Linked DNA regions of Drosophila melanogaster. The protein of the gene in region 2 interacts with the protein of the main gene of each other region in a pairwise test. Each region holds a gene or a part of one and is shown on either strand. Other genes may lie near its edges.

What was found. Proteins that work in one complex are often made in the same cells at the same time.
Region 1: the proteins of CG1738 (region 2) and CG11726 interact in a two-hybrid assay, tested with the Drosophila melanogaster proteins (one large-scale study listed by BioGRID).

What each region holds. Positions count from the first base shown.
Region 1 is NT_037436.4:11,392,008-11,397,460, forward strand, and holds CG11726 (uncharacterized protein), read left to right. Parts: upstream 1-2,682; 5' UTR 2,683-2,763; coding exon 2,764-3,639; 3' UTR 3,640-3,666; downstream 3,667-5,453.
Region 2 is NC_004354.4:11,346,289-11,351,717, forward strand, and holds CG1738 (uncharacterized protein), read left to right. Parts: upstream 1-2,760; 5' UTR 2,761-2,883; coding exon 2,884-3,432; 3' UTR 3,433-3,559; downstream 3,560-5,429. Other genes in the region: GCS1 (glucosidase 1), read right to left, coding at 1-1,594; CG11756 (uncharacterized protein), read left to right, coding at 1,917-2,528; NdufV3 (NADH:ubiquinone oxidoreductase subunit V3), read left to right, coding at 3,808-4,137; CG1737 (uncharacterized protein), read left to right, coding at 5,416-5,429.

The DNA of each region.
Region 1 (5,453 bases), on a different chromosome or scaffold from region 2:
CTATGCCATGATTTCGGCACAAATGAGATAGTCATAAAGATTATAAAATGGGGGTTGGAAGTCGAGGTAATTCAATGGGATGGTTGTGATTGTCAGAGGGAATAAATTGCCCACATTCAAACTTTTAAGAAAGTGTCTTCATCGTGGAAAATAAATTACCAATGATAGATTCTTAAAATCATTTTATTTCTACTTCAATGGACTTAATATCTGCTCATTGAGGGGTATATTTTTTGGCAGAATTATAATACTCCAAACTTACGATAATGTTTCTCGAACCAAAAGATTTGATTTGAATACCACCATAACAGCACATAGCTAGCTTTTTAATGCACTTGAATATTTAAAGGGTAGCAGGGGAGTAAATAAACAATTAGTTATCCCCATTGTTGAACCCCTTAATGAGCATTTTCCAGCACACCATAAGCTGCATTTAACCAAATCATGATAATTGCTCCAATCGAGACAATTTGCCAAAGCCAATTGATTAATTAATAAGGTGCTCGAGCTTATTCGAAGCTCGGAATAGAACCGGGAAATGATTTTGGGTGTGGCCAGGCCGCCAGTTCTTCAGTCTCTGGGCTACCTACATAATTTAAAGCTAATTAATTTTCCTGGCGCAGCTCATTCGAAATACATCAATCAAAATCCAAGTTGGGGGCTAATTGCATTTACCTGATGACGGTTTTCATTTTGGTACCGCCCCTTCTTCAGATTTTCCATCAATTACCGAACACAATCAAGAAATTACGATTTTTGTTTTGACTTGATGTTTAAAGGGATGTAGACTAAAGCTAATTAACACTTTAAAAAGGCGACGAGTAATTACTTATTTATTGTAAGTTTAAAGTTTTAAAACCGCTTATTAATTGTGATATTATTCCGTTTATTATGTTTCCATATTAGTTATGTCTAAAATGATGACATATTTATGCATGAGATACCATTCTTGGTACTGAACCTTATTTGATATGCACCTCAAATCCAAGTTCTTTTTTACACCTAATCCAAATCATACAACCCTATTCAATTATTAATTTCGATGTGTTGCCCTCTGGTGACCCACAAAGGAGACGGTAGAGTTAAAGATGCCTTGTAGATAGATAGGGTCTACGGACGTGTTCGTCTGGCCCCTCGATATGAGAATTATGGGACACGTTGCTATCGCCAAAAATCTAATGCCTAATCCTCGAAATTAATTACCTTCGCTGCACCTTTGCCACATTTCATTCAGACTGTTTCTATGAAATTAAGCGAAAAGAAAGAAAATTCCATGTAGCTGAAAGCGATCCTAGTGCCCAGATACGAGTAGCTCTCCAGACATCGTACTTATGCCCGTGCACGTTCCGTGGTGAGAGCATCAAGATAGTGTGGAAAAAAAACGTGAAGGCGGAGGCCACTTGACGCTTCCTTCGTGTACACACTGTACTTGCACTGAAAAAAAGAAATGAATGAATAAAAGAGAAGTTCCTTTTTGCAGAAGCTACGGAATATTGAAATATTTGCTACTTCTATGAGATATGGTAATTATAATATACATATATACAATTTAATTTAATATTAATCTAGAATAATAATATATGTATATAGGGCTATCATTTTCAATGTTATAATTTCTAAATGTTGATGTTTATGATATAACCATGTTTTTGAGTGTGGATTTCTTTCGTGTGGAAGTGGAACCCTCTCTGTCTATGGCTTGGATTATAGATGACCCAGGCATCGTCAACTTCATCGTCATGTAAATTTTTGAAATATAATTGGCCTAATATTTTAGCCTGTCCGCTGTCTGTTGGTAATACCCGGTCCCAGACACGTACTACGAGTGTGGCTCGAGGCCCCTGGGCAACAGGCACTTGGCTGGGTTACTTGGCCCGAAAGCCCATAACACTCGTACTGGCGCACTCATGCTGCAGGCCATGATTTTTATCAGTTTACCTTAGTTTGTGTTTGGCCAACGCACCCAATTTTCCACGGAATATGGGTGTAGCCCGTTGCCAGTTGCCTAATGTGGAAACCTCCTTCCATCCTCGCTCGTTTCGGCCCAACCCAACCCAACAAACCAACCGTACCGACCAAACTAACAAATAGCAAACAGAAAACGACACAATCCGTGCATTAGCCAAACTCAAACTCAAACTACGAAACTCCTAACTCAACTCCATGCCACTTGTTTGCTGAACTTTTGATATTTTCCAACCGACGCCGATAGTTGCCAGTTGGGATCCGCGAACCTTGGCATTTGTCTAGTCCGATGGTCGATATATGTGTATAACTGAATCTGTGGAGCAGGTGCTGCACTGAATGCGATCCGCAGCCTGGGAATATTCAATCGAGCATTTTGCCTGGCCAACCAACTATAATTATGCATTGACAGAACGCGAAAAAAGCAATTTATTATTCAAGAATGAAACTTATGCTGAGAAAATGAAGTATAAAGCTTGCTTTATGTAAAACAATCATGATTTTATCAGGATTTAAGACATATCTTTTTTCATTTTTAAGTTGATGAATCAATAATTCGAGTTCATTAGCAGCTAGAAATATATACAATTCAAAAAGATTCGTTTAATATAAAATTATAATCATCATAATTCAATAATTCCTTTACTTATAGTTGTAAAATTTAATGTACACAGAAACATTTTTGTGCCGAAATTGGCATTGCTTTTTGTAGCAGAAAACATTCCCAGTTTTCAAGGAAAATACACCCACGTTCTCATTATATCAATAATACATATATTCTTTATTTGTTGGTAACTGATGGCAAAGATGTCCAAGTCATCGCGTAGCTTCAAGCTGCCACCAGTCAGCTCCTCTTCCGTGTCCTCGGTCTCCGGCAGCGAATCCGGGCAAGGATTGGAAGACATGTTGCACGTGACAAAGGTGCGAACTTCCCAGGTGGACAACGCAGAGCTTTTCATGTACGGCGACGGGCCCAAAAAATCGAATTCAGATCTGCAGAAAAAGGTCAGTACACCCGATCCGGAAGAGGAGGTGTCAATGGAACCACCATTTGTGGCATTGGTCAGCAATTTGCCAATGGAGTGCACTGAAGGCGAGTTGCGGAAAGTGTTCACCAGTTTTTCGATCCGTTCTCTAACCATTCCGAAGAAGGGAAAGCGACCCAAGGGATTTGCGTATGTGGAAATGGATTCCCGCGAGGATCTCGTTCGTCTGCTCAAAATGGATAAGCTTAAGTGCCGTGGTCGTTGTCTTATGGCCAAAATAGGCCAATTGCCACCCGAACCACCGACAAAGGCAGCTGGAGATGGCTTTTCATTATTTACTTGTTCAGGCAGGCAATTTGATATAAACTCTAGCCATTATTCGGCCAGTGTCAGTGATCTCAGCACCATCGATTCGCCAATCTCTGCGAGGAACTCACCATTTCCTTCGGAAAGTGAGTCGTCCTTTTTCGGCAGGGATAATCCTATAAAAAGAATTCCTAGTAGCACTGAGGAAGTGGAACGCCGTATGCAAATTCGTCTTCAGAAACTAGCCGAATTCGAAAATTCTGAATCGGAGAGAATTAAGAGTGAATGCGAGGATGATCCGGATGCCTTCATGTCCTGGAGCGATGCCCTAGACGAGATTAGAAAATCTGAAACTGATTCCTCAAATCATACTGAATCCTAGCAATAAAAGCATGATAATTGAATGTTCAAAATTACAAATTTTTGTATTTATGTAATAATTAAACTTAAATGCAAAAATAGTCCATATATATGTATTAAGCTGACTGCCGCTTATGAATTATTAAAACAATAGGGTTTCGATTTATTTTCCATTTAAAACCTGAAGCCGGGAAACCCGTCCAATGTGCACAAGAATTATGGATCCAAAGTGAGCTAATTAACAAAAATGAAATGCTGTTAATGAACGGTGAAGTGTTCATTTGCCCCTTGGCAACAGCTGCAGGTTACCAAAACCAAAAACCAAAAAAAAAACCGAAATTAAAAGAAAACAATTAATCAACAATATTGACTTAAAGCTGTCAACTGAATTAAATTAAACTGATTTATTAATGTGGCGACAGTTGGGCGATTGAACCGCTGACGTCCAAAATGCGATGGTGACTGTGATTTTGACGCTCCGCCACCCAAAAAGCCGTCCTCTTTGGGCCAACAAACAAAGAGCCAAAAACAATCCAGTAAAGCATACGCTAATTGACCAACTAATTAGCGCATTTAATGGCTGCCACATAGATGTACTTTTTGGTGTATGTGAATAAAATACGGTCACCGAAACAAGAAAGACAGACTTGCTAATGAAATTAACGTAGCGTGGTTAATAGTTTTGCCAAATTTGGAAAATTGTTTTCATTAAATCGGTCGGCTTTAGTTACCCGTTCTGCTCTTGGCGTCATCTTTCTCATGCATTATCTTTATTTCTTTATTAATTTTATTTGTCTGTTAATTCCCGGTCTGCACTTAATGACTCCGGCCCTTGGAGGCACGATTTTTGCCAGCGGAAAATTACTCATAGTCCCCGAGACAGCATGGCGATGACTAAGTTGGCGTCATAAAAATTCAGCCCACTTTGAATCACCGAGAGTGGAAAATTCGGAGTTTGTGAATAGATAGGAAACTAGGCTACTAATTAATATGGGAAAAATTTTTCATTAGCTCTGATACGGTTGATTTTCGATGGTAAAAAGCCGAGTTGTTGCTTTACCAAAAAGCTTTTTTTTGCTCGGTTAGTTTTGGATACATACTAAAATCTTAAGTGTGAATTTATTAATGTAACTAATTGACTCGTTTTCGGTTTCCAAGTCCTTGGTTTATATCACTATACTGTATACCTTTTAGAGTTAATCGAGTTTCTTTTCTGGCTTTAAGGTTCCTCATAAATTTCCATGCTCGGAAAACTGATGAATCTAACTTATTTTCAATTCAGCTTTATCTAAATTTATACGTTTCTCCGTTCCAGCACTTTTGTTGCTTCAATTCATCGACTAATTGCTTGAGTTCGCTTCAATTAGACTGGCCGTTCTTCTAACAATTCGGCCGGTTGCACATAAAATGTCTGTCGACGGCTTTCTCCCTTTTGGCCTCCCGTCTATCCTTTTTTCTCGTCCTTTTCTCTTCTCCTCTCGACCTCTGTCTCTTCTCATTAACTCAACGGTGCGGACAGCCCTTTCAAATTTGGTCAGAAGCGTGGCCAGAACCGCAGTGCCACTCTAAGCTTCATTTTTACACGGTGCAAAATATTGCAAAAAAAAACTTAAAAGTAGTTGATCAAGCTCTTTAAATGTATATTTAAATATGATATTAAGTGCATATTAAGTAAATAGTTAATAAAAAAGGACTATAAATTAATTATTGGACAGTAAAAAATGTGTTAAATTGTATATTCATATATGTACTTGTTTTTCTCCATGTGTAGATTCAACTACCGGGCCAAAAGCCAGGGGCCACGTCCGGAATGCGGAATGTTCTGGCCATTGCCGT
Region 2 (5,429 bases):
GCGTGGCCAATCTGCCGTTTTGCGACAACTCCGCCCGGTGGCTGGTCAGCAGTTTCTTGAGCGTAAGAAAGAACGTCGGCGGATTGGCGTTGCTATTCCGTTGCGTGACAAACTCCTCGGGCACCTTGGCCAGCGCCTCAACGCCCAGGATTTGCTCCCTGGGTATCCAGCCCTCCACGTTGAGCAAATCGAACCAATGGCATATGATATCCAGCTCGATATCGATGTCCCACGCACTGATCAACAGGCCGTGGAAGCCCTCGTCCCAAAGGAAGCCCCTGGGAAAGAAGCTACGCGACGGCACGGCCGTGTACAGTGGAGCCTTCCAGTAGGGCACCGGATTCTTTGTGTACACCGATTGCACGCGACTGGAGCCATAGAAGTAACCAATGCCGCCAAGCAGATTGCTCAATGCGTTGCGCGCAAATCGCACCTCCTCCGGCGAGTGACCCTTCTGCTTCAGCTGGAAACGATCCTCGAAACGCTGCTCAAATTGTGCTATTTTCGCCTGAAGCGAATCCTGATAGGCTCGTCCCGTCGGCGGCTTGGGTATCGACTCGCCAAGCGAAAAGCCCGACGTCGACTGGTACGTAATGTCCAGCGTGAAGTCCACCTCCGCCGTTATCTGTATGGCTATGAAATTGGGCTCCGGATTGGAGGATGGCAGGCCATTCTGCGAGACTATCTCGCCGGGCAGGCCGATGAAGCGATTGCCACGCTTGTCGGCGAAGGCGCGGAAGTGCGAGAAGAGCGTATCCTTGAGCTTGGCCAGCGACGGTGCCACCGTGCTGAGATAGGATTTATGCAGTATCTTGCCCTTGACGGCATGGAAACGCACTTGGAACTCGCCCAGGCCCTGCGCCTCACCATAGACGCCCGGCTCCGGACTCTTGTCGTCCGACACGTACTTAATGTGTCCATTGGTGCGCTCATCCAATGCCACATACCAGATTAGCGAGATGCTCTTGTCCCACGCCCTTGTCGTATTCCTCACCGATATCCTGGCAGTCCAATCGCCGCCGTACTGCTTGCCCTCTGGATACTTAACGAACGAGGTCTTCAGCTCGAAGGGCAGATCCTGGATCTCTTGAACGCCAAAACTGCGGCCATCGTGATGCGTCCAGCCGTACGAGTCCAGTTTATCGCCCTGCTCGCACCAGTGTCGAATGCCCTGGCCACCGGGGCCCAGATTACTGGGCGTATACCACATCAGGCCCATGACCAGCGAGTGCGGATCCCTGGTCTTCATGCCGAAGTACGTCAACGGACGGTAGGAGCCCCAGTAGCGATCCGGTTGCTCCAGGCCGGCATGCACCACCATCTTCTGGTGATCGAAGGGCGTGTTAACGCGCGTCTCCAGGTAGCCCAGATAGCCGAAGTACGAGGCTATCGCCAGGCAAACGCAACCAATCATCGTTTTCCATTTGTCCAGGATCAAATTCGAGGATAAACTGAAACGCGGGCTGCGCTGCTTCTGTTTGGCATTGGATGCCGCTGCTGCTGCCGCTGCCGCCGCCGCTGCTGCTGCTGCGCTCGATCCGGATGAGGATGCAGCGGGCGTGGAGCCCGAGGAGCTGCCCGTGTTCCTAGCCATTTTGCGCTTGTCCCTTGGCTCTGATTTATCGGCTATTTGTTGTTGCTTCAATTTTCTTGCGAGCGCATTGTTTTCTTTTTTATTTCGATCCGCACTGCGTTGCCGGATCATCCCAACTATTTTCTATGCGGAATTACAAGGGTTTGTGTCCTAGCTATACTATGCTATATTTGAAAACCATAAAATTAATCATTTCCAAAATTTCTTCTCCAAATTTTGTAACAAATCATTTTTCCGTCACATTTCTCGATCGTCAGAAATAAAATCGGAGCTTATGCGTCGCTTGCAATTATTTTAAATTCTTAGTAAACTTTCTTGGAAAATGCTTAAATATTTGGCTGGAATTTTCGTCAGTCCGCGCAATGACTACGCGAATGGTCGCTACAGGATTCCGCATCCGAAGAAGCTGGCCGCCAGGCGAAAGTCGCCCCCGGTGAATATATCCACGAGGAGCGTCATCAATGGCGGCAGGTCGGCAAACGGGAGGCTCAAGACGGAAAATAGAAACGCACGGCGACGTCGAGAGGGCAATCCACATCTGACGCGACCACACAGCCGATCCTCCCAGAAAACCATAGGGATCCGCCTGGATCCCATTAGCTACATCGTAAATGTGCCCAATTCCACTTCATCGCCCGACGACGACGAGGAGGAGGTGCCTGTACCGCAATTGCCCAACGCAGTAAACAAACTGAAGGCTCGAACGTATCGGAAGGAGAATTCCGATTGCCTTATTCCACCGCCAGTTAGTCGCGTCGCGAGTTGGTCGGGTCCTTTGAATGCCAGTCCCTTCAACCAGCTGGATGAGCAGAATTCCATCTCTGACGATGCGGACGCAATGGGCTGGAAAGCGATTTGTTTGCCAGATGATTTTTGGTCGGAGGATTCGGACTCGGAAAGCAAAAGCAAAATGAGTAAAATCAATGTCTTTTAATATACAAAAAATTTATTTTAAATATTATAATAGTTGACCATTCAATAAGATCTTATTATGCTTTTAATAAGTACGAAATTTTACAAATTAATGTAAAGAAATTGTATACTTAATAAATAGCAATAGACTGCAAGCTGAGCAGTTTTTCTGAAACATATTTTGAAATAAAAAGATTTTGTGACGTAATAAGGACATTAAAAAGCGCCACCTTACAAGCAACATTCATGAAAAACGGCGCTGCCAGATGGACCGAGGCGTTACGTGGGAATTAGTACATTTTGGCACTGTACATGTGCATTCAATATTTTGATTTCACTATTATTGCTGCAAATAAACACAGAAAACTGAAAGCATAATGAACGTCAGCGCCGATTTTAAGCCGGTGCCCACGCGTGCAGCGTTGGCGCTGCAAAAGAAGCAGGAGAACACCGAATTTCAGGCACACGTCTTCCACGAATCGCACTTCCAATCGAAAAGTGGAACAAAAAAGCAGGACGACGGCGTCCAAAAATCGCACAAAACCAAGGAGGGCGGCATGGAACTGAATCCCGAATTCGATATCAAGAAGGCGCGCCACGAGGTGCTCAATTTTGCGATCAAAAACCAGCGTGTGATCAAAAACAAGAGCAAAATGGAAATGTTTCAGCTGATCAAGCTGGGCGCCAAGCCGCTGAAGAAGGCCTCCAAAAACTACAAGGAGCTGAAGGACGAACGCCAGCGGCTGAAGAATATTCGCGAGGAGCGCAAGAAGTTCCATCAGTTGGGCAAAAATCAAACGGGCGCCGCCAGCGTCAAATGCCGAACAAAATCGCAAAAGGAGCGCAACGACAAGAGGCGCGCGCCCGTTTCACACATCGATCAGCACTACGGCAAGGCGCAGCCCAAGTTTAAGACGAGAAAATAGTTGTTTATATAGCTCTTAGTTAAATACTAAAACTAGCTTAGTCAAAGGATGGCACTGTTTAAAAATCAATTTATCTATTCTAGCCCTAACGTCAGGCTTAAATTATATAATATATAACTATACCAGCACTGCCAGCATCTTTAACTGTGTAAATAATAATTTAAACATTTAAACCAATTTAAAATATGACCACTTTTATTTTATGCATATTTTTGCGGCCAGGTGGCAGCTTCGCGCTCGTACGTTGCCTTGCCATATTCCTCGCCAATAAGCGCACTTTCCGCGTTACCCAACACGTCCACTTTGTTGATACGTGATTACGTGAATTATTTTTGCGAATTAAACGCTGCAAGCTAGCCAGCCATTAAGTCCAACATGTTCTCGCCCTCACGTGCCCTGCGCCCAGCCCTCAGCCGCTGCTACAGCCAGATCAAGGGCGGACCCGTTTCCGGCGGCGGTAGACCCAGCGCCTCAGGATCTCCAGCTGGAGCCGGATCCTCGCCATCGGGCGGCGCATCCTCGCCATCGGTTGTGGGACTGACCAGCAATTGCGTGAAGCCCAGCAGCGGACCCGTTGGACCAGGTGCCTCCGCCACCGGTGGCTACAAGGTGCCTGAATACTACAGCTTCAATCGCTTTAGCTACGCCGAGGCGGAGGTGGAAATGGCCAAGTACCGCTGCCCACAGCCCTCGGCCCTCAAGTAGATGTAGCCCAATTGTTGATGTTAAATAAAATAAATGCCATTTAAAGAGGACAGTTGAGAATTAGAAAAATCAGTGTTAATCGGTGTCTGTGGCCGATGGGGCAGTTGGGCTGGCAGACATTCTGCAGCACTGGCCGACCGACCGACGGACGCTATACAACACCGTATTACAGCAATCCTCCCCTCTCTTTCCAGTTCCATTTTTCCATCGACAGCGAACCATTTCGAGCGCGCCAATCATAATCGTGTTAATCGTGTCAGAAAGCAAATACAAATTGGTGCGCACATTCAGCTGTTGCAGTTACAGTCGAGCCAAACGATTTGTGTCGCCGATCGCGTGGAATTTCGCCAGCAAAACGCCGAAAAAAGCCCTCGAGAAAAGCAAAAACACACAGGGTCGCTGTGCATGTGTGTGTGTGGTACAGTTGGGTAGAAAATCATCGCCAGAGCGAGTTGCCACCTGGTTGCGCTGCTCCTCTCTCTCTTTCTCGTTCGCTCGCATTTATAATTTTTTTTCTTGTTCCGCCACTATTGCCACCACTTTTGCTGTTCTGCTTTCTGTGCAGCAGCTCAGTTGTTCAGTTCGGTTGTTGTTATTGTGTTGTGCATTCTGGCGTTTTGAAAACATTCTAAATAGCAATAGGCAATCTCTTGCCCAAAGCCCAAAAAGGAAGAAAATATAAAAAACAGTTGCCAATTAAGAGTGACCATCCGCAGCAGCAGCAGCAGCAGAGTTGCAGCGAGAGAACAATAAGCAAAAGAGAGAGCGCGGGCTTGTGAAAGTGCCAGCGAAAAGTGCGATTAAATTGAAGGCAAGCTTAACGCCCGAGAAAATGTTAAGCGATTTTCGAAGGTAAGTTGCTGAATTTCAATCAAACGATATTCTCATCGCTCCATATTCCTACGTGTTTGTGTGTTTGTGTGCATGTAGCTCTATGTGTGTGCCTGCGTGTGCATATGTGTGTGCAACGACTGGCGCGCGAAAAAGTGACGAAAATAGGCGCTAGAGTTGCCAGAGCAGCTAGCTGCACATTACACACATATCAGTGGAATACAGTGGGCCCTGGCTACGCGATACGTGTGCAATGTTGTTACTCTGTAATAAAGCTGCTTGCTTGGATTTCCAATTTCAATGCGATATTTGAAAAATACTACTAATTGCAAATGGGTGAATAACACGATCCCGCTAGCCACAACCCACTGTACTCATCCTATATGGTCACAATGTAACTAATAATCCATTCCGCCTCTTGCCCACGATTCCAGCTACCCATGAAAGATGCGGGCTGGAAA